Xenopus tropicalis: one gene and its partners. The protein of the gene in region 1 interacts with the protein of each later gene in a pairwise test. Links are inferred from orthologs where the notes say so. Each region holds a gene or a part of one and is shown on either strand. Other genes may lie near its edges.

Region 1 (4,924 bases):
CAAGGGAGGCAGAGTGCTGTCTGTGTGCCATACTCTGCCTGCCCTATGCTGCCTGTGAAAGGTGAACCTGGCAGGGGTTTGTTCTGGGAGTTTGTTAGTAGTTGGAAACAGCCATTAAATGGTCCCTAAGGTGTGTAATTATGTTGCTGAGGGTTGCTGTGCTATCCACAGGGGAGGAGGAGGCATATGGATTTAAGGGTGTGTCTTAATATGACATAATATAATTCTTTCATATATGAATAACTGGTGATATCCCTGGAGTGAGGACCAAACATTTGGGTTTTTGCTGCACTACCACCATTGTGATAAAATGGGTGTGGCTCGAAGTGGGTGTGGTTCAAAAAAGGGGGAGTGGCCAACACTGGCTTCAATTAGCGGCCCTCCACCATGTATGCTAGAGAAATTCCGGCCCTCGGCACCGCAGAAGTTGGACAGCACTGATCCAAACGATTACAGACACTTTATCAAGTAACTCTGCATCATTACAACTCTACCTCCTTAAGCTCCTATTCACCATTGAAAACAGTTACAACTGTCCAGCCTTTTGTTTAGAACTAAGAACTTGGATACCTCATATCAGCCTATTTGCTCTACTCTGGGCTCTTTTATTTTGAGCAATGTCTCTTTTAAAGGAACAGTAACACCAAAAAATGAAAGTGTATAAAAGTAACTAAAATATAATGTGCTGCTGCCCTGCACTGGTAAAAGTTGTGTGTTTACTTCAAAAAGTCTACTATAATTTATATAAATAAGCTGCTGTGTAGCCATGGAGGCAGCCATTCAAAGGAGAAAAGGCACAGGCACATAGCAGATAACAGAGAAAACACTATTGTATTCTACAGAGCTTATCTGTTATCTGCTATGTAACCTGTGCCTTTTCTCCTTTTTTCCAGCTTGAATGGCTGCCCCCATGGCTACACAGCAGCTTATTATATAAATTATAGTAGTGTTACTGTAGCAAACACACCAGTTTTACCAGTGCAGGGCAACAGTGCATTATATTTTTATTACTTTAAAGCTCTTTCATTTTTTGGTGTTACTGTTCCTTTAAGTATTGCAGACCAAACCGTCACTGCAGTTGCTTGATGGGACATTACCAGTTCTCTGTAAAGGGGGAGAATCACCCTCTCTTCCATGAACCCTAAGAACCTCTGTAAATTTATACTCATAAAATACGGGACAGTACGTTGCTGACCCTTTCTGCTTCTGATTGGCTTTACTTCCTACAGCTAAAGTTATTATCCACAAGTAATCTGACCTTCTCTATAAGTGACTAAAGGTCACTTCAGACAGCATATCTGCCCGTGTATGTGCCTGCCTATGGGATGACTGGCAGGCCACAAGTATCCAAACCCTATCATGTTATAATTTCCCTTTAAGAACACAGATTGGGGTATGGCCTAGCAGTTGGGTAGGTGCTTCACAACATAACAGGCATCATCAGCAAAACTGGTCTAAAAAAATCTTACTCTCCATTGGACTCCGCCACTTGGGGTTTAGCAGGGATAGCTCTCTAGGTTTTTTCAAAGCCAGCACAGAGAGTTATCAGTCAGCTGTAGCCTATACAATAAAACCCCCATTTTACATTTTAGGGAACCAGTAAAAATTGGTGTAAAAACCAGAAAATATAAAATCGGGAGAAATTAATTATATATTGGTGGGACGTACTTCCCCCAAAGTGATTGTGAATAGTATATTTTCCTTCTGCTTTTTATTTCTACTGATAATTATTAGCCGTGCCATTGTCTCTCAGGCTAGCCACCGCCTTTATTATTAATTCTCGTCACCTTCCTACAGTGTTACAATCTTAGATTAAAGTGACCTTTCAAGATACAGCATTTTAGTGTAGCACATATGTGTTCTTCCAGTTTAATTAGATTTCCATTCCCTTAATTGTTTTTCTTTCTAGAATCCACAATGAACTTGGGCGATTTTATCAGCATGAACCCTGAGGTTGGATGGGGCACAGTATATTCCTTGGCAGAGTTTACAGAACGCTTTGGTGACGCAACAGTCTGATTCACAAATCATTGAAAGGTTTTGTGAAAGCAGCAATGCCCACTGTGGCTGAGGAAGTAAGAAGCCATTGTTCTTAAAGTTTCCAGTCCACATGATTAATTCATCTCTCCGAGTGTTCCAGGAGTTGCACTTGGGTGTCAAATTCAGATAAAATGAATTTAATCCCTGTGCCTGCCGGATTAAGCAGTTCCATCTGAAAGCTCTACTTTATATACAATGTTTTTCACCAGCGCTGGCAGTAATTGGTACTTTAAGGGCAACTATACCTTCAAATATTGCAGCAATTACGGCAATACATAACGGTGGCATATTTTTTATGGTATGTTTCTGCTGGCTATAGAAAAACATAGGGGACAGTCTTGCAGAATTGTGTAGGGATATCTATTCTGCCACAGTTATACGCTGTCTCTGTGAAGCTTAGGAGGCTGTTCCTGCTGAATTGTAGGGCACTAATTGCCAGAAAAAATTCAGATACATTTCAGGCTGCCACAAGCCTTTTATCTACCTTGATTAGTGCTGTACAGCACTGCAGCAATACAACATTGACTGAAAATAGGTGTCTTGGTATGTGCTCCTTATTGGCTGAAATAATTTGGACTGGTTACTGAAATGAAGTTAATGAAGGGGAGCAACCATGACTGCATACTTTTATATAATGTCACAGCAATATTTGGGTTGTGGTCAGTCCATTTACAACTGACCATGACCCAGTAACGGTATACCGCGCTCCTGATCTGTCAGACCACATCCCGTTCTGTCCTTTCGTTTGGGATTATAATATAAATTAAGACGGCTGTAGTGAAATATTGTGGCAAGCCAGCCTGAATAGAAGATGTGGCTATAATGGGAAGAGGAAACACGAATAGCTTCAAAGTGACGCAAATAAAATCAACATATATCCTAATATCCAAGAATTTAATATCCTAACCGGAAGAAATATAGCAAAAATTGTCTAGCAGAGCTCCTGGATCTGTTTGCAAAAACAAAATTCTTGTCCCCATTCAGTCACCATGATGGCTTAGTTTATAGGGTTAATATGCAGTGACAAGGGTCAGGATTGCTCTGAATGAAACCGTATTCATTTGCCCATGTTCTTAAGAAAAGTCTGTTATACAGTAAGTGAAATAAATAAGCACAATAAAAGATGTCCTATATGAAAGTAAAAAAACACACAAGTGAAGCTCAATTTTATTGCTTTATTGATTTAGATGTATGGCGAGTACCATATGCCAAGAGAATTATACTGATTTACAAATACATATTGCCACGTTTTTATTCTTTGGGTTATTGGGTACATTTGAAGTGTAAGAAATATGGTAACTGATCTCATAGGTTTGCACAAATCTGACATTTCTCCACTTGAGGTTTGAGAAGAACAGCGGCTGCCACTTTGAGTCTTCAAAATGTTTTTGGAAGAGAAAGAGATTTTGTTGCAGCGCTTCATTGTGTAAGAGCTGGGAGACCCTGGGGATGGAGAGTAGAACCTTTTGCACAACATATTGGAAAATGGATGGAAGGCTCAGTGACAGATGGAACACTAACCAGAAATAGGGCTCAGAAAAGAATATTTTTATCATTAGATTACTGTTAAGGGTTCGTTTATGCATAACTCATTTTTATTGCCATTTTTATCAGACATCAGGATTCCCATACTACATGTTTTACACAAATCTCTGGAGCGTATTTAGCAAAACGAGAGTGAAAACATGCCCCAGATTTCTCCAAAATCCTTCAGCCCTCCATCTGAGCATATAGTCCTATAATTATCTTGGGCGCATTTTTCTGGAAATAACTGAAACAATGATTGTGCCACCTGTAAGCAGAGAGTGGCCCCTCAGTGTATGTAACTGGTGGGGCTGTAGGGGAATCATTGGTGATGGGCGTTCACTGTAGGTACCTACAGAAGCCAGAGAGGCGTTTTCTTGTCCCTAGTTAGGACTGTCTGTGGATAAATACAGGTATGGGATCTATTATCCAGAATGCTTGGGACTTGGGATTTTCCGGATAAGGGTTTTTTCCATAATCTGGATCACCGTTCACAAGTCTACTAAAAAATAATATTAACATTAAATTACCCCAATAGGATTGTTTTGCCTCCAATAAGGGGTAATTATATCTTAGTTGGGATCAAGTACAGGTACTGTTTTATTATTACAGAGAAAAGGGAGTCATTTAACCATGAAATAAACCCAATAGGGCTGTTCTGCCCCAATAAGGGGTAATTATATCTTAGTTGGGATCAAGTACAGGTACTGTTTTATTATTACAGAGAAAAGGGAATCATTTAACCATTAAATAAACCCAATAGGGCTGTTCTGCCCCCAATAAGGGGTAATTATATCTTAGTTGGGATCAAGTACAGGTACTGTTTTATTATTACAGAGAAAAGGGAATCATTTAACCATTAAATAAACCCAATAGGGCTGTTCTGCCCCCAATAAGGGGTAATTATATCTTAGTTGGGATCAAGTACAGGTACTGTTTTATTATTACAGAGAAAGTGGAATCATTTAAAAAAAAAAAAAAAATTATTTGCTGAAAATTGAATCTATTAGTACATTAATCAATGGACCTCTTTATATGAACCTGTTATTACAGAGTAACATCAGCTGTTGCACACACAAGGGGAGGCTTGTGTTCATGGGGGCCCCATATGAATAACTTGTATGGAGCCCCAAAGTTTCTGATGGCGGCACTTTATGCACCAGTATGGGGTACTTTAAGTCTCAGCTCCACATTGCCATGCTCTCCTGGTTCCCCAGCAATCTTCAGTCCTGGAGCTTGCACAGTACATACCTTGGCAAAAAAATTCTGTACATGGCATTTGCTTGCCCAGGCGGCACTGATGATGGAGAGACCAAGGTGTAAGTTCAGCTAAAGTCTTGCCTGTACTGGTCCCAGTTGG
Region 2 (6,420 bases), on another chromosome or scaffold:
TTTCAAGTCGGAACTTTTCCAATTCGGGTCGGATTCGTGGGTTAGTAAATCAGCCCCAAAGTGTTGAGCATTAGGAAACAAAATGATCGTGCACTTCTACATTTTGGTGTGTTGATTTCAGTTAAAATCATTTTATATTTTGTCTTTCAGTGGCTCTAGTAGAAAGTAACGCTAATCCTACGGGGGTTCAGTTAGTTAGCACTTATCAAACCAATCGCATTGGAGACCCCTCTAACCTTGTGGATCTTGCGCGGCAAGTGCAAAAGGTAAGGGCTAATAAGGTTTTGGATGTTTTTTGGCAAGAAACTTTAAGAAATATATATAATAATAGATAAAGCTCCATTATATTCTAAAGAGTTTATCTGCTATGTAACCTGTGCCTTTTCTCCTTTTTTTCCATCTTGAATGGCTGCCCCCATGGCTACACAGCAGCTTATATAAACTATAGTAGTCTTTCTGTAGCAAACACACCAGCTGTAACAGTGCAGGGCAACAGTACATTATACTGTAATTACTTTTAAGCATTTCCATTTTTGGGGCTACTGTTCCTTTAAAGGACTATCCAGAAGAGCAACTAGGCAATCTCTCCAAATCTCACCCTAACTTTGTTATATATGGAATGTTGCCCTTCCCAGCCACTTTTCTGGGTTTGCCTAGGAGAGTAATCCCACAGTTAAGGAACCACTTATTTTAGAACTAAAGTGCCTCCTTGTTGGATTAAGGTACTTATAAAAAAAAGCATTTATCCTTTTGGAGGTTTTCACATTTTATCGTCATCGAACATGGAATCACAGGGGATTCAATTTTGTTTATTTAATTGATTACTTAATTATACACCCCCTTAATATGACACAGTGGCTAATGTCCTGGAATGGCTAGGAAGGGAGTCCAGATCTTAGTCCAATAGAGAATGAATGGCTGGATATGGGAAAAGGCTCTTCACTAAATACTGACTAAAAGAGGGTGTATGCTTATATAATCTTGTGTTTTTTTTCATTGCAATTAATTTAATCTTTTGTCTATTTCTCTTGATCACTGCAAAAAAAAATAAATGCTGGAATACTTGGGACCTGGGTTTTTATTTTTTTTTTGCTGATAATGGATGTTTCTGTAATTTAGATCAGATCTCCTAAACAAACCTATTAGGACTGTTTTGCCACCAATATGGATTCACACAGCTAGTTACCATCAAGTACAATGTACTGTTTTATTATTACAGAGAAAAAGGAAATCATTTATAAAAAAAAATTGGAATTACAGGTATGGTATTGGTTTTCCACAAACCTGTTATTCAGAAAGTTCCAAATTACAGGAAGGCCATCTCCCATAGACTTTAATTTACTGAAATAATTCATTTTTGAAAAACATGCTTTCCTTTTTCTCTGTAATAATAAGAGTATCTTGTACTTGATCACAACTAAAATATAATTAATCCAAATTGGGGGCAAAACAATCCTACTGGGATTAAAATATATAATTTTTTTCAAATTAGATTTAAGGTATGGTGATCAGATTTCTGAAAAGACCCCTTATCTGGAAAACCCCCAAAAGAAAGTAATGCAAAGCAAATGAGACAACCAGTTGTGTATTGCAGAGTGTATATATTCATGTTTATACTGTATTTCATCAACAGGCTGATGAATTTGTCAGAGCCAATGCATGTAACAGATTGACTGTTATAGCTGAGCAGATCCGCATGCTGCAGGAACAAGCTAGAAGGGTAAATATTCAACTGTGTTTAAATTGAGTTTCATTATTGTAAAGTAAAATACAATTAAGCTACAAAGTTAATAGCTTTTCTCAGTATGTAAAACATAAAAAAACATAAAATACTTGATTGAGGGTTTATTTGCACTGGAGAACATGAGGACTGATTACATTACATTCCCATGGTGAATAGTTATACATGCATAGATATATGGTGAAAATATATAAAATTGAAAAAAGTACGCAATGAGAAAATAGAATAAAGGGAAGTAAGCAGAAATAATAAGCAGCATTATTTTTTTTTTTATCTTAAAAGGAGCTTTTCTTGTCCTTTAAACAACTAGGTATTTGGTGTAGCAAATATATTTCCTGGCTTACCTGCTGTTCTGTTTAGTATTCTAGTGACAGTGACCTCCTCACTGTAATTTAGACACCCTTTATTGGTAGTTGCCTCAGTATGATCATGCAGGAAGTCTGCTGCTCAACTTATGTTGCTTTAGTGTGAATTGTGGGAAGGGACCAACATTTTAAATTAGTAGCTGTGTGCTCAGCTTTCCTTTTTGTATTGTGAATTTACAGTTGTAGATGGATAAAACCTTTTACTAGAACCAGATGAGTACTAATTTTATTCACTCGATGTAGGTGCTGGAGGAAGCCAAGAGAGATGCTGATTTGCACCACGCAGCTTGCAATGTTGTCAAAAAGCCAGGAAATATTTATTATCTCTACCAGCGGGAAAGTGGACAGAGATATTTCTCAATTCTGTCACCAAAGGTAAGAGAATCCTGCACCTGTTGTGTCACTGACTGTACAATGATAAGACTCATGGATGGGATCTCAGATCTTTTTTATCTGTGGGAAGAACTATTGTTTCATTTCTACTTTGGCATCAGAACTGTGGCTATTTTAGCTTCCCAGTCAGCTGGTTCATCTGCTGCTGATAGTTTAAAGGTTAAGTTGAGGGTCACATAGGGCCACATACATGGAATAATGATCAGTCAGTCTATCGAATAATTCCTTTGTATGTGGACAAATTTAGTCTTTTGTACCTATAATTTCACTACAAAAGCAGTCATTTTTTGAATGGACAATTAGTTATCTGCTATGTAAGATAAACATTTGAGGCTTAGATTCATTGATTGTTTTGTGATAGAAAAAAATACCTATCTGGCAGTAAGCATCAGCATTTGTTACCATGGTGTAAAGTGTTAGTGTGCTAGTCAGCCATAACCCAGTAACCACAGGGCTCATTGCAGGTCTTCTTGCCATACCTGCCAAGGCTACAGTTTTACAGGGTAGCTTTTCCCTAGTGGGTAAAGCAACATTATCGACAAAGATATTATTTTACTAAAATAATAACTTAGAACTTTTCTATCACATTTCCTAGCATATATTCATATTTATTCAAACACACAAAGCGGTTTTATATTAATATTTTCTAGTACACACTAATATATGGTTTATTGAATACTGATTCTAGCTGAGCCTTGCTTTGAACAACGGCACCAGGGGAGATTCCCAGTGTTTTGATAGCCGCATGATTTCCTGCTTGGCAGGTAGCAAACCAAGGGAATTGCTCATCCTCTGACTTACTGTATATACTCGAGTATAAGCCTAGTTTTTCAGCACCCAAAATGTCCTGAAAAAGTCACCCTCGGCTTATACTTGAGTTGGGTGCCATGGGTCCCTCTAGACTAGCACCCTCTCTCCTTTGTGTGCAAATTAGGCCACCCGCAACCAGATCCTCCAGTGCCTATTGTTTTTGTTGACCCTCTTCTCCACTTACAGAGCTAATTTACTGTTTTTCTTTGAAATAAATATTTAACATATACCCCACTGATGCCTCAATTAATGTAATTTTATTGGTATTTATTTTGATTACTGAAACATAGCAGAAGCTGCTGCATTTCTCACCCTAGGCTTATACTCGAGTCAATAAGTTTTTACAGTTTTCTTAGGTAAAATTAGGTACCTCGGCTTATATTCGGATCGGCTTATACTCGAGTATATATACGGTATCTTTTGTACCTGCCAGTGTACTCAGAGGTCAAGTGATTATTACGCAAACACACTTCAGGTTTCTTACAAATATTTTTTCTTTCCCTTTTCTCTATTAGGAGTGGGGCCCTAGTTGCCCACATGAATTCCTTGCTGCTTACAAGCTTCAGCATGACATGTCCTGGACACCATTTGAAAACATAGAAAAAAGAGATGCAGAAATCAGCATTATTGATAAACTATTGAATGAACAAGTGGCACTTCCATCATGCAAAGAACCCAACTTTAGAGGATTAACAAATTAAATATATCTGTGATACCTGGGTAACTGAAGCCTTATCACCTCTAATGTGAATTTGTGGCATTGTCTGTGATCTGTCTGCAAATCGGGGATGTCACCAACAACTGTTTATCACTTCCTTTCTCACTTGTTGGTCACCTTTGCGCACTGAGAGTCTTTCCTGCCAAGAGAATTGGTTTTAAGTTTATTTTTACTTAGCTCAGTTTTTTTTATACTCGTACAAACTGAGATTTTTTTTAAGCCATCTTTTGTTAGCAGAAAGTTTCCACCCTCAAAATATATATTTTTTTTTTATTGTCATTGTTTGGCAAAATGCCCTGATAATAAAGACTTACAGTAGAAGTGCAGCCAGGTAACCATACATTATGATGGGTTTTATTGTTGGGAATATTGTCCAAATGGAGGATACAGAATGTAGCTGAATCCAAAAATTATGCATTTGAACAAGAAGGCGTTGGTCTGGTTTATTGATATCGATGGTATTTGCTATTTGCCTTAAACTTGTTAAAGTGCCCCACACAACACAAACTCCTAATATACCTATTACTGTAATCTGTTCCTTCTAAACATATTAATAAATACCATTTTCATATGCTGAATTTCATCTACAAAACAGCTCTTTCTGCTGCATTTGAAATCCTGGCAGGGGAGGAGGCACTAAACCACTGATGTTACAAATTGTAAGAACTTCTCCACAGTTTACATTGAAGGTGTAAGTGCTTTTAGAGGGTCCATTGCTAGTCCTCTCACCATACATGGTGTTACTGTGTAACTTTCATATGGTGGGTAAAGGAATAATATCATCAAAATAAATAAGGCTGATGGCCCACGGAGCAAGTTAGTCACCCGCGATAGATCTCTGCTACCAAAGGCGACTAACCGCTCCAAAATGCCTTTCCACCGGCAACAATAGGAGTCAGCAGTGGAAAGGCCTATGCATCACTTTTGCTTTCTGAAGTTGCCTGCAGGAGGAAACTGCGAGACTTCAGGTAGCCGAAGCAAAGTGTTGGCCTTTCCACCAGTGAGTCCTATTATTGCCGGTAGAAAGGCATTTCAGAGTGGTTAGTCACCCGCAGAGCAGAGATCTAATGTGGCCAACTAAACCGTTGTTATATTTTGTGGGACACACTAGCATCGTTTTTCAAAGTAAGTTCCCAGCTTGGCAGAGGGGCAGCAAAACAATTTGTCCTTCATTGAGTTTAAAGGGAATTACCTTTACCCTTCTAATGCACTTGTAGGTCAGGCAGTTACTCACTGTTCCTTGCTAATAAATATTTTTTCCTCCACTTAGGAGTTGGGAGTTTCCCAACATTAATTTAGTGATAATCAAGACCATTTTTGAAAACACACACAAAAAAAATTCAGAAATCATTACTGATAAACTACTGAAGTTGCACTTTTATCATGCAAAGAACCTAGTTTTAGAGGAATAAGGAAAAAAAAAATCTCAGTGACACACAGGGTTGGTAGCCCGATCACCCTTGTCATGTGAACTTTGTGATCTGCCTGCTAGTCCAGGAAGCCACTAAGAACCTCAAACTATTCACCATTTCCTTTCTTGCTCACTGTTTGCCACTGCGAGAACTGAGTCTTTCCTGCCAAGAGAATCAAATTTAACTGTTTGTATTGCAGTGCCTGGCCCCCTTCAGTTTAATTTTCAGAGCATTGCCGTTTGCTTTGCAGTGTTAAGTGTCTCAAGTACAAACAAGGATTAGAAGAGAAAAAAAAGTTTCCCTTGTGAGCAGAAAGTTTCCTATTTAAAGTGAATAAGGATAAGGCATTTGTTATAAAATGGAAAGTGGCTGTGTTTCTTGTTAGTAGTAACAGAAATTATAAAACATTTGTGACATCAGTTCTTAACTATGCAGAGAATGTAGGATTTTCCTAACTTTAGCACAAGCTCGTTTTGCTTCCCATGTAAATCAAGGTAATTGCTTAGTGACTTCCTTCCCTCACTTTTTTTTTTTTTTTAAATATTGTCAAGGTTTGAACTGCACTGTAATAAATAAAGTAGAAGTGCAGTCAGGTTACCATGCAGTGCAATACTACCTTTTTTTTTATCCAGTTTTAGGCTAATGCCAGATAGGGTTGATTCTAAGCATCTCAGGTTGTAGATAAATGCAAATGCCAAGAATCAGCCTCCTTGCTGGCATCAGCCGGGTACAGATATATGGAGCAGATTTTAGCACCAGAATGCATACTTGCAGCGCCTAAATTTGCTCCATGTTTCTGCACCTGGGCCAACGCAATGGCTCCAGGCATAGGGAAAGGCTAATGACAATTTAGGGGCTCATTCTTGGCCTGCATTTATCTATAGCCCAAGTATCAGCCTTTGTGGGACAGTATAACCAACAAAAGATATATGAATTACAATGCTGAGGCTTAAATGCTTATCAACCCCCCAAAAAAACTGC
Region 3 (5,798 bases), about 75 Mb from region 1:
ATATGCCCACCTATAGGTGGGCACTATCACACTAATTCGATCGGGCTAATATCGGCCCAAATTATCTGATTAAAAACGGTGGGCATAGGCACCGTCTGATCAGGGACTGCATCAATAAGCTGATCAAATCTGCCCGATAGAGATCTATTTTGGCCAGATGTCGGTCAGGGTGTCCTGTTGGTGGTGGCCATACATGGGCAGATAAGCTGCCAAAACATTCTAAAGGACATCACTTACATCTCTATACTCTAGAGCAGTGCTGTCCAACTGGCGGCCCGCAACCCCCCTCTGTGTGGCCCCCCACCTGTCTGGCTGCTTTGATGGCTTACCTTTGTGTAAGATTTAAATGGTATCAGTACTGTGGTTAACTGCCCCCCTGCATGGTTCTGCATTGTTCACCCCCTGCAGTGTTCACACAGCTCAGGCTGTAATCACCCACATTGTTCCCCTGTTCACACCTCAGACCCACAAATAATCTCACAAATAATCCCTGCACACTACAAAAAGAACATATACTGAAGTGGTACTGCAATTAAAAAGTTTTTTAATATATAGTTATTGTGCAGACTGTAGGAGCAGTGCCAGCATTGTGTCACTGTATGCTGCCTGTGTGTGCCATACACATAGGGCAAGCAGAGTATGGCACACACAGGCCAAGTATGGCACAAACCAGCCAAGAATGGCACACACAGTCAAAGTATAGCACATGCAGGCAGGGTAGGGAAGGCAGAGTATGGCACACACAGGCAGGGTAGGGAAGGCAGAGTATGGCACACACAGGCAGGGTAGGGAAGGCAGAGTATGGCACACACAGGCAGGGTAGGGAAGGCAGAGTATGGCGCACACACAGGCAGGGTAGGGAAGGCAGAGTATGGCAGGTTTTTGCTGTACTACAACCATTAATATGGGTGTGGTCATGTGATAACATGGGTGTGGTTTCAAGTGGGTGCGGTTTCAAAAAGGGGAGTGGTCAAAACTGTCTTCCATTATCGGCCCTCCACCAGGTAGGTCGGAAAAATTCCGGCCCTCTGTACCACAGAAGTTGGACAGCACTGTTCTAGAGTATTAGAGATGAATATGTCAAGTCATCTTTCCAACAAATGAAACTTGGTTAAAGCAGAAACTTTACTCAGTGCTCTACCGCTCAGTTAAATTTGAATGTGTTTGGTATTTATATTGCAGATATATATTTAATAAAGGGCAGAGAGACAACGTCACCAAAAAAACTGTAAATAAAAACCAAACAAAAAAAAGTCTAAATGTACAAGTGAATTGAATCTTGCAATATATAAAGAATAAAAATGACATCTCTCTCCCTATATTAAGGTTGTCGAAGCTTCTAACATAGAAGCTGAAAACTGCAACTAAAACCCAATAACTTCCTTATCTAGTTTGAAGCTTCATTCCTTTAGTATACTGAGCTTTCTTTCTCGTATAAATAGGAATTTGGTCAAAGGGCTGTCCACTGTGAATGTCTGATTTCCACTGGGGCAGGAGCCAGCAAGCATGCTCAGCAGACAGCTCTATGACTGGATTCCTAATTAAATGAGATGGAAAGTTCAGTATAGTAAAGAAGTAGAGATTTGTGCTAGATAAGGAATTTCCAGATTTGACCTGTTTTTCAGCTTCTGTGTTTAAAAACACAGCGTCTTTTTAGGGATTTTAAAAAGAAATGTTTAGGTTCGCTAATCGATAATATTTTTTCACATATTACTGTATCTTTCTTTACATGTTTGTAATATACTTCCGTAGCTATTTGAGCACAACTTTTTTTTTTACCACTGCCCTATTTAGATATTTGCTACTAGGACAATACAGATCAGCTCTCTAGGCTTACAGTAAGTATATATTCAAATAGTGGTTGTTGTTTATATCTATATTAATGCTGGATTAATAATAACTCCAAACACTTAAGTTTTTTTTTAAAACACGAGTCTATAGACCACACACCTGATATAGTACATTGACACCCAGTTATGCACATCTGGTCGCTTTTCAATATGTTTTAACAAGGTCTGTTCAGTCATATGGAAATCAGAATCATGGGGAGGTGCATCAGACTACAGTTATCAAGTAAACATCAGATTGCACAAGAAAAAAATGTTCAAATTCTTTGCAATGAAATTCCCCTTTAAATTACTAAAGTAATTAAAGGAAAATTCTGTAAATAAAAAAACAAACTTACTTTTGAAGCCTCTTGCGCAAGTCCTTGATCTGATCATTCTTCTTTGTAAGAATATCTTTCATATTGCGATAAACAGCAGTCTGCTGAAATTTCTTTTCTAACTCCTGTTTGGGAAATAACCCATGAATACTCCTGTTACAATGCAAGTTCAGTAAAGAAAAATCTTAAATAAAGCTAAAAGCAAACAATGAAATGAAAGGAAGACACCCATATAGTAGAGGATGATCAGATTAGATTAAAAAATGTTTATTATGCTGAAAACAAAGGACAATGCAGTATTGTTATATTTCAGCTTCAGTTAAGTAGGACATGAAAACATTCTAAGTGTGGCAACGGAGGATCTGTGGATGCCCTGACAGTGATCTTTTACTGTGTGGCTCCCTTTTCTCTCTCTCTTCCTGTGGCCCTCCAGCACTGTCTCCTTAGCTGTATATAGCAGTGTCGCCCACTGTAACCTGCAGCAATATTATCCTCCTATTTGTGTCTGCAAGTTACCCTTCTATTTAGATTGTAAGCTCTATTGCAGTGATCCCCAACCAGTGGCTCGTAGCAACATGTTGCTCATCAACCCCTTGGGTGTTGCCCTCAGTGCCCCCAAACCAGGTAGTTATTTTTGAATTCCTGGTGGCAAGTTTTGATTGATAAAAACAAGATTTACTACCAAATAAAGTCTCCTGTAAGCTGATAGTGTGCACAGAGGCTACCTAATAGGCAATCTTAGCCCTTATTTGGATCCTCCATGAATTTTTATGATGCTTGTGTTGCTCTCCAAGTCTTTTTACATTTGACTGTGGCTCACGAGTAAGAAAGGTTGGGGACCCCTGCTCTATGGGATAGGGACCTCGATCTTCTTTTCTCTTTGATTCTTAACTTATTACAACTGTACCTCATATTTATTTGTATTTATTATCATACTTGTATGTATCTATTATTGTAATGAATTTATTGTTCTACTGTACAGTGTACATAAGTAGTGCTTTACAAAGATATGCATACATACCTTTTCTGCCGAAGAAAGCTGTTCTTGGACTCTGAGCAGTTCATGTTTTGTAGAAGCTAAATTATCTTCCAAATATTTTTGACTGACTGTGTGGTCATTAACAGTTTTCTCAAAATCACATTTGAGATCTGCCATGGTCTTCTCCAAAATATTGATATCCTGAGTATTCTGTTTTGCCTAAAGAAGATAAAACATTACACAGTTATGAAAAACAATGCAAGTAGAATATTAGTTGTAGAGAATACAAGGTACAATACAATACAGGTAAAAAAAAAACAACCCATAAAAGAAAGTATATATACACACACATTTAGATTGTAAGCTCTACGGGGTTCCTCTTGTCTCTGACACTTATGTGCATATTTATGAAGATTGAAGAAAAATATCACCAGTGATGTTGCCCATAGCAATCAATCAGAAATTAGTTTTAAACAGTCATCTAGAAGTTAGAAAACAAAAGCAAAGATCTTATTGGTTGCAACATCACCAGTGATATTTATCTTAAAACTTAGTAAACAGGCCCCTAAGTACTTACTCTTAAATGTAACTGTATTTTATAATTATTATTGAGATGACCTGTTCGTTCTATTAATTTATTGTTCTACTGTACAGAGCTATGTACATAAGTATCATTATATAAATACAAATATACTTTCATATATAAAATGTATGTATGTATGTATGTATGTATGCATGGATGTGTTTTTAAGGTGCTTTGTTTTATAAATTTAACAGAATAAGCAACTTAATATGCATATAGAAGAGCATATGGTATAATATCTGGAAAGTACAGCTTTTAGATATTATATATAAATATTTAGTTTTTCAGTTTTAATTTTTAAACATATTGTCATGAAAATAACCTAACAACCATATGCTCAAACACTGGAGAGAAGCCTTGGAGCATTCTAGCACTTTATTTTTGTAAAGTCCAATGACATCACACAGCAACAAATTCTTCTAAGGATGTAAAAGAGCAAAAAGGCAGTTCCAAAGTCCCACAGAAGTAAATCCACAGTCTGAAGAAAATAATGGCCGAAAAGTAACTGAACTGGTTGATGCAAAGTGCAGGAATCCTTTCCTCTAGCTCTCTGAAGTCTGACTCCAAGTCTCTCTTTGGGGCTCTTTTTTTATGCAGGGATGGGGAGACGTATAGGTGCCAGGGTAACTGGATTATCTACCTATTATTTCCAATCAGGTTGGGCTGGCTTGTTGAAACCTTTGGGTATCAGTCCCTAATCTCACCGGAAAAAAATCAAATCAACTTCGCCATTGTTTATCACAAACCAGTCACACATAGGGGCACATTTACTAATCCACGAACGTCCGAATGCGTTTTTTCTGTAATGATCGGTATTTTTGCGTTTTTTTTTCATCGCCGTCGCGCAAAAATCGGATTGGTTTTTCCGCCGTTTACAATTTCTCCTGAGGAAGCGTGTAGAGAACACGCGAAACGCGTTGAGCTACTCGAGACTTTTATTCACTGCTTTTTATCTCTGCTACACTGTAAGTAGCCTGCATTGAGCAGGGTTTTATATCTATATTAAACGGTTTTACACTATTATCGCCTCCTCTTTTGCTCTACATATATTTGAGGTATCTGACCTGCCTCCAATCAACTGCCCCGTGGGGTTGGACCTATATGCTTTGGCTCATGTTTTTCTGGTGAGCATTTATTGTATCTCATCTATTACGGAGTTGGGTCAACACGTTTTAACCAGTACATTATTAAGCACGTGTGGTGATTAAGATCCTTCATTATCCCATTGATCTGCACTATATTTTGTTTTTTGTTTTTTGTTTCTATTTTTATGCGCTTCCAATCAAACACATATATGCACTTTCTGAAGCTCATCTAGGAGGGGAGCTGACACCAAGAGGAAGCAGCACGTAACTACGGTCTACAGCATTTTGAACATTCAATTCACATACGGATTATACACCAAGAAGCGCTGGGTTTGAGTGTGTTTTTCACTCTTAATTTAACACTACCTTTGCAAGCCTTCTCAGACTTGTATGGCATGTCAATATCTTTCCTTGCTTTCCTATGCTATTACTCTCTCTTCCCCAGTTCATATACCATTTTGTCATGTCCCTTTAGTTTATTTCATGTCTTACCCTGTCCCCCAACAATTAGACTATTTCTTACTGTCCACCAATTCATGCACAATTTCTGTTTAAAACTATCTCACTTAGAATTTCACTGCCTTAAAAGTGATTCTGTTTTCCTGCTTAGCCACTCAAGTAACAGGACACACAAAGAGACCAGATTAGTACATAATCAGACTGTAAAAGTCACTCTATAATGCAAATAGCACATGAAAACACCTAAGTCTTCTATGCTGGAGTAAGAATATAATTTCTCATGCACGGTAAGTATTATGTGACCATCTTTAGCTCCTAGAATGCTGTTTCACATGTAGCAAATTGTAACAGTTAAGAGTGTGTGCCTGCATTACTGGAATGCTAAAAAATTGATCTACACTTAATGAAGGAAATCCCTTCAAAAGCACATCTTTATTAGAATACCAAGGTAAAAAATTATTGTTACCTACTTATAAACATAAAAAATGAGGGACATCCATCAATTAAATACCTTATTCAGATTAAAAT
Region 4 (5,952 bases), on another chromosome or scaffold:
ATTTTTTTAGAAGACTTAAGGTATGGGGATCCAAATTACAGAAAGATTCCTGATCTGGAAAACCTCCGGTCCAGAGCATTCTGGACAAGGTACTGTTTTTTAGTCAGGTCTGGACTAGGATACAAAATATGCCCTGGCAGAAGCTCAAAGAGCCCCCAGCCCAATAAATAGTGACTGTCTATGGCATCTTACAGCCCCCCTGTTATCAGCAGAACCCAGAGGCACAAACAGCCCCCCCCAGCCGCCCAATAAATAGTGACTCCCTATGGCATCTGACAGCAGCCCCTCTGGCATTTACCAGAACATACAGATTGCCAGTCCGGGCCTGTATTTATCATTACAGAGAAAAAGGAAATCAGTCTCAAAAATCTGAATTATTTGCTTATAATGGAGTCGGTGGGAGGTGGCCATCCCGTAATTTTAAGCTTTTTGGATAACTGGTTTCCAGATAACTGATCCCATACCTGTAATTGGAATTTACTGCTCAAATACTAATTCATATATTCTATAGAATACTCCCACCCCCACACTTACTACAGACAGATAGGGCTTATTTTCCATTTATAGCCGCGGTCACTTATATATCGAATCCCTGCTTGTTTGGCATCCACGGGGGCAGTATCAGAGCAATATTCATGGGTAACGAATGTCATCTGCGCTCTGAGCTGTGTGTTTCATTTCTTATTATTCCGCTGTACGGCGCTGCATACATAAGTAGCGCTAAATAAATACATTTACATACATGGCTGATTAGTACAATTGTCTTACAAGAAAATTTGTAGCAAATGAACTGTAAAATGAGCCATCATAATAACTGCCTGTGGCAAACCGTCACGGAATGTAAATCATCCGCAAATATCACTGGCAGGCTTGATTCCGCTCTTCTCTTCTTGCATTTCTTGTGCATCGTATTACAGGTATGGGACCTGTTATCCAGAATGCTCAGGACCTGGGGTTTTCTGGATAAGGGATCTTTCCATAATTTGGATCTCCATAACTTAAGTCTGCTAAAAATAATTAAAATATTAAATAAACCCAATAGGATTGTTTTACCTCCAGTAAGGGGTAATTATATCATAGTTGGGATCAAGTACAGGTACTGTTTTATTATTACAGAGAAAAGGGAATCATTTAACCATTAAATAAACCCAATAGGGCTGTTCTGCCCCAATAAGGGGTAATTATATCTTAGTTGGGATCAAGTACAGGTACTGTTTTATTATTACAGAGAAAAGGGAATCATTTAACCATTAAAAAACCCAATAGGGCTGTTCTGCCCCAATAAGGGGTAATTATATCTTAGTTGGGATCAAGTACAGGTACTGTTTTATTATTACAGAGAAAAGGGAATCATTTAACCATGAAATAAACCCAATAGGGCTGTTCTGCCCCAATAAGGGGTAATTATATCTTAGTTGGGATCAAGTACAGGTACTGTTTTATTATTACAGAGAAAAGGGAATCATTTAACCATGAAATAAACCCAATAGGGCTGTTCTGCCCCAATAAGGGGTAATTATATCTTAGTTGGGATCAAGTACAAGATTCCGTTTTATTATTACAGAGAAAAAGAAAACCCATTTTATAAAATTGAAATTATTTGCTTATAATGGAGTCTATGGGAGATGGCCTTTCCGTAATTTGGAACTCTCTGCATAATGGGTTTCCGGATAATGGATCCCATACCTGCAATGAGATTTTTTACTGCAGTAAGGCACTGTATTAGGCTGATTGTGATAGGTCATTATTGCATTGTCATTGGGCAGTTTATAAGGCCCATTATTGGTTTATAGGGGGGCGCTTTGTATTTAGGTGCTGCATCACCCAGGGGAGAGGAGATAACCCACCGGGCAATAAAGCACCCCGTGTAACAGCACCTTACCAAAGGTGTAGGAGAGGCAGACGTATATTAAAAGAGATGCACTATTAAAGGGGTGGTTCAACTTTTACGTTAAATCTTAATATGTTATATAAAGGCCTTTTCCTAGTAACTGGTTTCTATTATTGTTTGTTTTTAATTATTTGCCTTCCTCTTCTGCCTCTTTCCAAATGGGGGTCACTGACCCCTGAAGCCAAAAAACTATTGCTCTGTGAGGCTACAATTTTATTGCTATCGATACTTTTAATTCCTCATCTTCCTATTTAGACCCTCTTCTATTCATATTCCAGTCTCTCATTCAAACCACTAACTATCTGGTTACTGGGTAAATAAGACAGCAGCTGAATTTCCAAACCAGAGACCCGCTAAACAAAATTCTAAATAACTGAAAAACCACAAAAAAAATAAAAAATGAGGACCAATTGCAAATTGTCCATGTCTGTATCACACTTAAAGTTCATGCCTGATTTGTTGTGGGAAAGAATGAAATGGTGATAGCTAATCCTTCAGTAGTTCGCTAATCCCTACTCAATGTTCTTTCCACAGAAGTAGAATGGATTTGGTGGATGTAGTGGAAGTGCCAATAAAAGTCACAGAGTGGCAGAAAACCTACACTTACGACTCGGGCATCAATTCTGGAATAAACACAGCGTCTCCATCGTTAAACGGGAAAATGGTCATCGAGGACGACAGCCACGCCTACCCCGGCAGTTACACTGTTAAAACCACGACGTACACACAGCAGCAGACCCCAGGTACAGTTTTACAAATGGACAAACGGCTGGGTGTTAGGAGGGTCCATTGACTCCTGGGCCCACCAGGAGTCTCCTTGGTATTCCAGTGGGAAAGTTAAAGGGCATATAAAGCCTACACTTCCCTAACATGTATATAAGTTGAGAACATTTCCCCCCCACCCAAGTGGCATCCTTTGTACTGAATCCCCTCTTTTTGTGCCATTACATTTTCTTTAAACAAAAAGCGTCTTTCACGCAGCAGCCATTTTCCCTCTGACACATCTTCATTTACTGCAAGTTTATGCAATGAAGAATGCAGGCTTACACAGGCAGAACTTACTTCCGCTTGGACTGAGCACTGTATTGGTTAAGCTAAGCTCAAATCAGGAACTTAGAAGAAAAAAAATAGAATCCGACAGCTAGAGCAAAGTTTCTGTGGGAACCAGAGGGTGTGTTTAGCAATCTGAACTGAGCACGCTCAGTAGCCAACAGCCAAAGTAAATTCCTAAGGGAAGGGGCTGAAGGGGTTAAAGGAGGAGAAGGAAACCCAAATGATTAAGGGGATGCTAAGTAAACCTCTTTACTTTCCCCCAACCCAAGTGGCATCCTTTGTACTGAATCCCCTCTCTTTGTGCCATTACATTTTCTTTAAACAAAAAGCAGCATTCACCCAGCGGCCATTTTCCCTCTGCCATGTCTTCATTTACTGCAAATTTATGCAGTGAAGAATGCAGGCTTACACAGGCAGAACTTACTTCCACTTGGACTGAGCACTGTATTGTATGTATGTATGTATGTATGTATGTATATGTATGTATGACTTTATTTATAAAGCGCCACAAGGGTGCGCAGCGCTGTACAATCTTAGAATACAAAATTACACACAGGGAGGACAAGTGATACAATAAATAAATACAATAAATATATATATAAGTGCCATGTGGTATGAGACACAGTAAGAAGTAGGTCCCTGCCCCGTAGAGCTTACAATCTAAGTGTATGTGTGTGTGTGTGTGTGTATATATATATATATATATATATGTTTAAGCTGAGCTCAGATCAGGAAGTTAGAAGAAAAAAAATAGAATCCGACAGCTAGAGCAAAGTTTCTGTGGGAACCAGAGGGTGTGTTTAGCAATCTGAACTGAGCACGCTCAGTAGCCAACAGCCAAAGTAAATTCCTAAGGGAAGGGGCTGAGTGGGTTAAAGGAGGAGAAGGAAACCCAAATGATTAAGGGGATGCTACAGCTTTACTATTAACCTTTAAACAGCCGGAGTGACAGGTGTTTAAAGATTGCAAAGAGACTGTTCACTACATTTTTGTGTGAGGGGTTTACTTGCCCTTTAAACACTGCTCTGGCATTATAAGGGGCTTTATAAATTCAGTGTTGCTTCACAGCTCTACGGGGGAGTAAACTCTGCCAGTACTTCTAACTATTGTTTGTGTATGTGCACCGATAGCAGATTCGGGCCATGTGAATTTCCAAGAGGAAACTGTAACATTTCCTCCTTGCTTGGCTGGCAGCCCTGGCGTGGCAATGATCCCGTCCTTGGACCAGCGAAGAAAGACTCCATTGTTGCCTCGCGCTTGCATACAGCATATTTAAGCAATCTTCTAAAAAGATGACTTGAGACTAATGAGGGTTTCCCATGATGCTCGCTCCAGGCTTAATGAAGCCAGAGGGTCCCTGTTAGCCCTTTGCTACAAGTGCTTAATGAGTTCTTTTGTATTGCTCTGCTATTCAGTTTCAATCAGCCTTGAAGGAAATGTTTAAGATGTGGTTTCCAGGTGGTATTGAACTTGAACTCCCCACACACTCACTGCCAGCTATTATCCAAGCGACAGATGTATGGATGACGTGGGCCAAATAATCGTCTGCACAAGAGCTGGAAGGTGGCAGTCGGAATGCAAATCAAGTTTGCTTTCTGTTAGACATTAGTGTGCCGGCCGGGTCCCAAAACCTCTTTACTTAGTCCGATGGATTCGATCTGACCCAGCAGGTCTGAACTGAGATGCAAAGTCGGCCCTGGTATTTCAAGTACACAAAGGTCCAAACAGCCGCATATAAAGCGCCAGACTATGGCAGCTCCCAGCCGCCCCTCTGGCATTGGCAGAGATTCCTGACTGTCAGTCTGGGCCTGCTTCCAAGGAGTTATTCTGATGTTTCTCAGGGGAAGCTGTTGTTTGTTTAGAAGTGAGATTGACTGCTATGATGTATGATGGTGAGTTGCTCTGTGCTGGAAAAATAGCTGCGCAATATGGATCTTTTCCCTTCGGTATTGTGCATGCCACTTAGCTGCATGAAATGCCACCTATAATGTATTGGGCCCAGGGATCTCTCTCATTGGATATGTGCAACACGATCACTTGGAATCATGTCCGGCGCCTTGGTGGGAACAGCCTCGTTAGCTGTATCGCCCATACAGTGCAGTGTGCAGCTATGCCAGTCCCACAGAGCAAGTCATTTTTGAATGATCCACAATATAAATGGAACAAAATAATAATGTTAATGTTTCTAATAAAAAATGTTAGACCCCCCCCCCCCAGTCAGAGTCGGACAGGGCTGGCGGGACACTGGGAAATATACTCCTGTCGACCCAGATCCGATCCCAGCTGCCTCCCTCCTCTGAATGATTGCATCTACTTATACATGCTTTAGGGATGGACAGGGCCCCTGTGAGGGGCGTGTACAAGCAGCGGGAGGTGTGTGGGGCCCCTGGGGTGGCAGCCACGGTGGGTCTGCACTTTCCCAGTCCAACCCTGCCCTCAGTGACTGTAATCGCTTACCTGACACGCCCCAGCCTGTGCTCCTGTTAACATTTTGGCACCCCCAAATGATTTAGCCTTTCCTTCTTCTTTAAGGGCAGTTGCTTTATTTTTCATATTAAAGTTAAAAAATGTAATATAAAAAAATTCTAGCCGTGCCTTTTAAAACACCCTCTGATTAGAAAGCTGCACCCTTCATGCTTGGGATGGGCTTGCCCTGGCAGTTGCATATATGAGAGATCATCTATCTGTATTCTATATATCTGATGGCACCCAATGGCTGAAATAAATATCTTGGCTTTCCATTGACCTGAACTGGAACTGCGTAGCCATGCCGGTACTGGCCCAATAAACTTGAACGTCTGCTCTAGGTATTGTGATTTACCTAGAGGAGATGATAGGAATGGTTGCTTGGAAAAAAAAATGACCTGATAACTTGGCAAATGAAATAGTTGGAGAAATCGACCCAATTCTCATTTATCTTCTCTTTTCAGACATGGACGCCCAGATAAACATGACTCGAGCCCAGCGCGTCCGAGCAGCAATGTACCCAGAGACGGTGGAAGATCACT

What was found.
Region 2: the proteins of wdyhv1 (region 1) and c1orf50 interact in binary tests that used the Homo sapiens proteins (3 or more experiments, as listed by UniProt). The two-hybrid records come from large-scale screens. The link is inferred for Xenopus tropicalis from reciprocal best matches to the Homo sapiens genes NTAQ1 and C1orf50.
Region 3: the proteins of wdyhv1 (region 1) and lztfl1 interact in binary tests that used the Homo sapiens proteins (3 or more experiments, as listed by UniProt). The two-hybrid records come from large-scale screens. The link is inferred for Xenopus tropicalis from reciprocal best matches to the Homo sapiens genes NTAQ1 and LZTFL1.
Region 4: the proteins of wdyhv1 (region 1) and jup interact in binary tests that used the Homo sapiens proteins (3 or more experiments, as listed by UniProt). The two-hybrid records come from large-scale screens. The link is inferred for Xenopus tropicalis from reciprocal best matches to the Homo sapiens genes NTAQ1 and JUP.

Annotation. Positions count from the first base shown.
Region 1 is NC_030682.2:139,837,197-139,842,120, forward strand, and holds the end of wdyhv1 (protein N-terminal glutamine amidohydrolase), read left to right. Parts: intron 1-1,909; coding exon 1,910-2,019; 3' UTR 2,020-3,278; downstream 3,279-4,924. UniProt on the Homo sapiens protein: Mediates the side-chain deamidation of N-terminal glutamine residues to glutamate, an important step in N-end rule pathway of protein degradation.
Region 2 is NC_030683.2:94,461,854-94,468,273, reverse strand, and holds the end of c1orf50 (uncharacterized protein C1orf50 homolog), read left to right. Parts: intron 1-150; coding exon 151-266; intron 267-1,633; coding exon 1,634-1,720; intron 1,721-2,349; coding exon 2,350-2,481; intron 2,482-3,824; coding exon 3,825-4,010; 3' UTR 4,011-4,605; downstream 4,606-6,420.
Region 3 is NC_030682.2:64,732,758-64,738,555, forward strand, and holds part of lztfl1 (leucine zipper transcription factor-like protein 1), read right to left. Parts: intron 3,363-5,798; coding exon 3,186-3,362; intron 2,290-3,185; coding exon 2,186-2,289; intron 1-2,185. UniProt on the Homo sapiens protein: Regulates ciliary localization of the BBSome complex. Together with the BBSome complex, controls SMO ciliary trafficking and contributes to the sonic hedgehog (SHH) pathway regulation. May play a role in neurite outgrowth. May have tumor suppressor function.
Region 4 is NC_030686.2:7,397,774-7,403,725, forward strand, and holds part of jup (junction plakoglobin), read left to right. Parts: intron 1-2,425; 5' UTR 2,426-2,432; coding exon 2,433-2,634; intron 2,635-5,874; coding exon 5,875-5,952. UniProt on the Homo sapiens protein: Common junctional plaque protein. The membrane-associated plaques are architectural elements in an important strategic position to influence the arrangement and function of both the cytoskeleton and the cells within the tissue.